Saccharomyces cerevisiae S288C: one gene and its partner. The gene in region 2 interacts genetically with the main gene of each other region. Each region holds a gene or a part of one and is shown on either strand. Other genes may lie near its edges.

Evidence for each region.
Region 1: mutations in CDC60 (region 2) and UPF3 together harm fitness less than expected from each alone (positive genetic interaction), as found in Saccharomyces cerevisiae (2 studies listed by BioGRID).

Annotation. Positions count from the first base shown.
Region 1 is NC_001139.9:632,269-636,028, reverse strand, and holds UPF3 (Upf3p), read right to left. Parts: upstream 1,726-3,760; coding exon 562-1,725; downstream 1-561. Other genes in the region: mRNA splicing protein SMD1, read right to left, coding at 1-317; ENV11 (Env11p), read left to right, coding at 1,966-3,760. UniProt on the Saccharomyces cerevisiae protein: Involved in nonsense-mediated decay of mRNAs containing premature stop codons.
Region 2 is NC_001148.4:245,114-248,873, reverse strand, and holds the start of CDC60 (leucine--tRNA ligase CDC60), read right to left. Parts: upstream 1,885-3,760; coding exon 1-1,884. Other genes in the region: BEM4 (Bem4p), read left to right, coding at 2,654-3,760.

The DNA of each region.
Region 1 (3,760 bases), on a different chromosome or scaffold from region 2:
AGTGAATCCAGGTTCAAGGAATCAGGTAAGATTATCTGTCTTATGGTATTGCCTCTAATGTTTATGTATTGCAAACTTGCTATGTTGTCACTTGCAGTAGGTTGCTGTCCTCCAGTCAAGTACAGACTAGCCATCGCAATACCATTACTGTTCAATTTATTTAGTCGGGGTTGTGGTAGGGTCAACTTCACGTCAGTTAAGATAGCATTCATTTGTGGTGATACCGACTGCAGTGTACCCCAAACGGTGGTACCGTTTTTTAGTTCTATGGTAACCTGCTCATTGCGCAGCTTTTTTAAAAAGTTAACCAACTTCATAATCTTTTTCTCGACGATTTATAAACGATACTTGGAGTCATCTTTCTTCATGACAATTTCATTGTATATGAACATTTCATATATTTTATTATTTTAAATATTCATTGAAAAATCATTAAATACGAAACTCAGAATTTATAATGGGGAATACTTTATGTAATAATATAATCATAAAATATATAATTCTTATTATTTTATTATAAATGTATTCCATATATAATATATAAGAAGCCATGAGCTTTTACTACTTCTTGGTATCATCACGATGCAAAATTTTTACCCGTGGTACGAAAAGGTTTTCTTTAGGTTGGAACGACGGCTGGGTTTGAGCGGATGATGACTGAGGCTGAGAGGAGTTTGATATTTTTAACTTCTCTTGCAAAAGCATTTTCTTCTTCCTTTGTTTCAAAACCTCTTTACCCGCTTCCTCAATAATAACCACATTACTGTTCTTGGTCTTAGAAATGGTGCTTTTTTCACGATTTTCACGCTTCTTCTTGCCTCTGTTCCGTTTTTTCTTTGGTATCTTAGCGGATGCTTCCTCTTCTTTGAATTTCTTTTTGGCGTTTTTATTTTTCTTCTTTTTGTTCTTATTCTTGACCTTATCACCAGTTCCAACCAGCTCTGTTAACACCCTTTCTGTTCTTTCTGCTATTTTATTTTCTAACTCTATGCTTTTTGAGAATTCTTTTTCTAAAGATTTCAATACGCTAAAATCTTGGAATGAGTACTCGTCATTTTCATTCAGCTGTTTCATTGAATTCATAAATGTTTTAAAAATTTCGTCTTCTTCAATTGTTCCTACTAGCGCGGCATCCTTTTTTGATGTTTGAGTGAATTTCTTTACGTAGGGCGACAGTTTCATATCTGGAATTGTAATATTATCCTTATTATCAATGAATTTACAAGTTTTAATGAAATTTGCGCATTTTTCCAAGTCTGATAAGTTGTCGAACAAGAAATTGCACCGAGAATATGTCGAGTTTTTGAATACTTTACTAGAATAATGACCTTCAAAAAAACACCAGTCACTGTACTTGAGTTTACCCTGGATATCTTGCTTATCACCATCATCGTTATTATTATCTCGTAAGATGGCAAAAAATTCATCTGCAGTCAAATTTGGAGGTAGCAATCTAATAACAAGCTTAAATCCTTCATTCTCGGTTGATTTACCCAATCTAGCCTTTCTTTTATAGTTATAATACTCTCTGTTCCTTTTCTTGTTATTCCTTCTGCCTTTGCTATTGTTGTGGGTAGCATTAGTAGCATTATTAACCTTATTCTCATTCTTTTTAGGATCTACCGTCTCATTCTTACTTTTTCCTCTGTTCTTGTTATGATACCTATTTCCCCTGCCTTTCTTTTTCCCCTCACTATTCTTCAATTCCCCAGCCACATTGCTCATGATAGATTACTATATATTTCAGCAGAAATGTAAGTCCCTCAGTAGGTTTTCCTTTCCTCTTTGCTGATATATTCATGCAATAATCATCGACAATATTTTCTTTTGTATCTTACTTTTTAGGCGAAAAATTTTCAACTTTTGATCAGCAAACAATACACAAAATAAATAAAGGGATGATAAACCATAGAATAACAAAAGTCTTCCGAAATAGCATATGTACCAATCTACTCAATCATTAATATGAACACTGCATTGGATGATTTACATGGGGATTTGGTGACTTTAGAAGATAACGAAATCATCAATAATTCTGATCATTCATCTTCTCACTCTACTAGTCATGAGGAGGAAGACGAGGAAGAAGACGATACTGAGGATATAGAACTTATAGAAAAAGACGGCAATAAAATCCTATCAAGTAGAATTCATCCGGAAGACGAAATCATAAATGATGGGTTAAATATATGGATTCCGGTTCAAATGCTCAAGAAGAATATAGCAAAGTTCTGGTCCCATTTTCTAGCAATTGAAAAGAAATTAACGAAAGTTAAATGTAAACATTGTGGAGAGATACTAACAAGAAGCGATGCAAGTTTGACAAAAACCTTTAGATCTCACTTGAAAACAAAGCATAATATAAGTGCCAATAAAAACTTCTATTCCATGAATTTCACAGTAGGAGACTCCAATCTCAAAAACAATACTTCCAGCACAGAAATTACACGTAGACACGGCTATGATTCGTTAACCTTCAATTCCGACCAAAGTTTCAAATGCTTTGACATAGGAAAATTACAGAGCAGTAATTACCTTTCTATTTCCCAATTAGTAGCCATAGTCATAGCCTCAGAAAATTTACCGCTGAACTTCTTTGAGAATGTGTCCTTTAAATCTCTTTTATCAAAATTTCATAGGATCCCTCCTTTAACTACCAATATAATAGAGGAGTCAATTATAGGGTTGTCAAAATCAATTGATGAGTTGATCAGAAGGTCTATATCAAGGAATGATACACAATTACCCTTTACTATCCATTTATCCGATAGTAAGGAATCAAATCAACCTCTTTACTTGAAATATTCTAGGGAAATTCGGGCACAATTGTCTAACTTGGACTTATCCCATCTTATTTCTGTAAATTTTACAGAACTGGCTGGAAAAAGATCATTATTTTCTTTGCAACTGTTCGATAATACCAACAAAGTTTCGAAGGGTTTACCATTATCTATTTTTGTACGTAAAACAACGGATATAGATATTAGTGTCTGGCAGGAACAGCTCAACAATTTGTATTCGAAATACCCTGGCTTACAAAAATCGGTGATTTCTATAACTTTGCCTCAAAGCCATTATACAATGGTACTAGAGAATAGAAACAGTCATAATTTTACTTTCCATAGCGGGAGTGTGAGGGAGATAAAGTACCATACTTGCATAGTATCTGAATTACTTCATTGTTTTTTACAGCCGTTGTTTAATGTTCCTACTGAATCAATGCTGTCTTCCTTTTCTGTGGCCAAAGAAAATCATTCAGGAGGCTCTTTGTTAGACTCATTAATAGATTTTTCCCATATTGATTTATCATCTACTATTCTCGGCAAAATATGCTGTTTGATAGAAGAAGTTAACTTAAACGACTCCCTAAAATCGGATTTCCTATTATACTGCCAAAATTATACACAACCTAACTGCAATGAACTTACTTCAATCCTTTCCTGTAACTGCGATAGATTTTCAGCTTTGAAGAGTATCTTAGAAAAATTTGCAAACTTAGTTCCTTTCTTCAAGTCTATCAACTCTCATTTAGAAAATGAATCACTTAGTGAATCCGATTTTCGTCTAATAAACACGGTAGAAGAGACGTTAAGAACTTTCGAGCAATCAATTGAGTACTTTGCTTCTTCCGCTCCATTGAAATTTACCCATACCTTGGTTTTTATCATTAAGTTTGAGTTATATTTGACAGAGATTATACGAAGCTTCAAATTCACCAAATCTAAAAAGCCCTTTGAAAAAATCCTAGCAAGGCTTCTAA
Region 2 (3,760 bases):
CTTAAATAGTAAGTGAGCAATGGTATAAAATGATTGATAAATAGTAGAGTCTGATAAAGACTCAACTAAGTATTTTTCATCCCAAGGCAATCTGGTACCTAACCCGTATGTACGGCAAACAGCCCAGTTTTTCAACCAATCCAAAACACCTTCAAATGCGTTTTTTACCTCAGGAGCAAATAATTGCATCCCTTCCAAACATTCAATTGCTTGTTTCTTCCAACTTTCTTCACCGTAATCAACGTACCATTGATCTTCCAAAGAAACGATACAGTCATCACCAGAACGTGACATGACCTGAGATTCTGGTTCGTTGTAGACGAAAGCTTCACCGGCGGCAATCATATCAGCCTTAACCTTGTTTTTGGCTTGTTCGACCTTCTCACCTTTATAAGGACCATATATCATGGTACCAGTGTAGTAATCTTCCTTGTAAGCAATTTTCTTGGCTTCTGCTAACAAGTTCTTATCCTTTGGAGATTGAATTTTTTTTTCTTCAACAATAGCCTTTGCAGTTAAATCACCATACTTTTCGGTATGCATAATTGGAACAATTTCATGGTCAATCCATTCAGGTTTAATGCCGTAGTATTCAGGTTTGTGCAACAAGTCCTTGGTGGTAATGTAGTCATCTGGTGAATTAGATGGTACACACGTGACGACACCAGTACCCTTGGTAGCAATGACAGTTTCCATAGGCAATATTCTTAGTTCTGGATATACAGATTGTGGGGCATGAATCTTGGTACCGATAAATGCCTTACCTGGGACAGTAACTATCGGCTTGTAGAAGCCTCTCTTTGGTGTTAGCTTTTGGTAAGACATGTTCTTGAATGCACGTTCAGTAGTGATAAAATAAGAATCACCAGCGTCAAATATACCATACTCAATTGTTGGAGAAACAAAACAACATGTTTGTCCATACATAGTTTCCGGTCTCAACGTGGCAGCGACAAAGTAGAATTTTTTGGATTTGTCAAGATCTGAGCTTGAATCAATGATTTTTGCGGCATCATCGGCGAACTCTAAAGCTTCAATTTTCACACCAATATATTCTTGTGGTGTAACACCTTCACCGGATTGTCTATCGTGATCCATACAAGCTTGACCATCTTTTTCAGAGTAAATAGTATAACGTTCACCGAATTTGATTTTACCAGCAGCCTTTAACTTGTTCATTTGCCATCTAATAAAGGCATCGTAATAAGGATTGGCATCAGTGGTGACAAAAGAACGTCTCCAATCGATACGAGCCCCAAGTGAAGTACAATCACTTTCACACAAAGGTGGGAAATAGGTCAACCAGTACTTGGCGTCGGCGAACTTAATGATTTCTTCTCTAGGGATACCAAGCTGTAACATGATTTCGAATTGGTACTTACCACGGCCCTTCTTGGCTGCGGCTTTAGATTTTTTAGCTTTGAATTTGGTAACATCCTCGTGGTCTTTCTCAGCCGGCGTTTCTTCTTTAATTTCTTCTTCTTCTGCTGGTACATTGTCGAAGTTCTTGCCAAAAAGTTCGGCTTCCCTCTTTAGTTTATCGGCACATGCTAAGATTGGCATACCTGTACAGTGAAAACCCAATGGAAACAAAGCTCTTTTACCGTTCATCCTTTCAAAACCAATAGAAAATTCGACTTTGGAGAGAGTAAAACAATGGCCGGCGTGCATAACACCGTTCATATAAGGATAGGCCATAGACGACATGAATTTAGGATACGTGCGATGTAACTCTTCAGAGTCCATTGTAATGGGCTCATCTTCGATTGATGGCGCATCGATTTCAAATTGGTGCTCTTCAGCCCATATTTTTTGGTACTTCTTTTCGATGGCGATTAACGCATCTCTACGTGCCGTGTTTTCTAAGACCAAACCAGAAGACATTATAGACTGGTTAAAGATATTTTTTTTATATTCTTCACTCTGGAAAAAAATTTCGGTGGCTTTACGTGATTATGATTTATAATAATACAATCATTCAACGTTTGAATAGAATATGCGTTAGGTTTCTTTTCGCTTTTGATTTTTTTTTTTTTTTCATTATTTGCGTGGGTGACTGATTTAGTTTTTCAATGTAAAAGAACCGTTAACGGCCAGACCTCGTATAAAGTGAGGATAACTATAGGCAATAATGGGCGATGTGTATGTAAGCACGAGCACTAGTTCAATACACATCAGAAAGAAACTTCGTCTAATTATTTCTTACCCAAGTAGTCACCCAAAAAGACCTTTTCAAAATATGACCTTGATATTCCTTGTCCGTCAGTTACCAGTTTTACTGTTAGCCGCCGAGGTCCTAAGGGCCTCGTAAGATCGTTCTTGTCTTCCCATGACTAAAGTTCTGCCACTAAGTTTAAGCAAACTCGGCTAAAATATTGAGCCAATATCGTATACTCATTTGTCTGATCTTCAAATAGTGAATCCCTTCCTAAACTTTCTTGTGATAAAGGTACTTAGTCAAAAGTATTTTTCTTTAACCATGTCAAAATAAGATCATATTACCCGCCGGCGGCAAGCCAAGCAACGTAAAATGGCTGAAGACAACGTAAGCAGGTCACTCGCGAACTAAAACTAACCGCGAATAACAAATCACCTCATCTATATTTCAGCCCCAAAAGATTGTGGTTTCAAGTGAAAATAACTGTCCTACTAAATGGATTACGAAGAAATTTTATTTGGTCTGCAACCGATCCTCAATGCGTCTTCAATAAAGGATGTTCCGATGAACGATGTCTACTTAGGAAGCTACCTAGCGGTAATGGACCAATTGGCTGTTTCGTTGAGAGAACCAAGTAATAGAGATATTGTTGGTAAAACTGGGCTGCTACTGAACCTAGTAAGAGTATTAGAACAAGCGCTTGATATCTGCTTTCATGATACGAGCATTTCAATTAATGATAAAATAGCGTTTTATGAGATCAGTTCTGAAGTGATTAGATGTATCGCTAACGCAATAATTGATAATGATGATAATCGGGAAATTCTCTTGGATTCTGGAGGTAAAAAGCTTCTTAATTATTATATAGGCGGGGTTCTTCAGCTGGACGAAATTTCTTCTGACAAGAGTGAGGATAGCTTAGTGGATAAATTACAGATGCGGTCAGTTGTGCTACTAAGGAATTTTTGCATTGGAAATCTCAAGTATACAGAAAATTTGGCTCCCTTCATTAGAGGTCCATTATTTGTTTTGTTGAAAACCACACAATATAGCTATTTGTCATCTCCCGAAAAAGTTGTTTTAGGTTCAGATTTATTGAACGATATTTTAAAAGTCAATTACTCAAATGTTCAAATAAGCGATCTCTTTTTCTTAAGCCAGTACATCAAAAAAATCTCTTCAAATGTGCAAAATAAAGAATTGCAGGCAATGGAAGATGGAGCAGTCGAAGCATATTCAAATACTGAAACTCAGAAGTTCGCTGGCCAAGGAAATCAAGAGTACATCGAAAAAGAGGAAGAAGATGATGAGGAGGACGTTAATTGTGAATTGCTATTAAATCTGTCAACATGTCTTGAAACTATTGTAGCCAAGGATGAAACTATAAACTTTACCAATGAGGAGCAGCTTGTGCTAAGCATGCAAAAAAATTTAATATTGTCCTTAGTTTGCTTAGAATCAAAAACCTTCAATAATAAGCTAATTGTAATGAGAAGACTCATATCGTGCGCAGGCAACATCTCCGCCAACCTAACAAACTCTAACAAACGAGAGCAATCATTATGTATCGAAACTATTAAGAGTTCCGCAAGTAGTTATGCC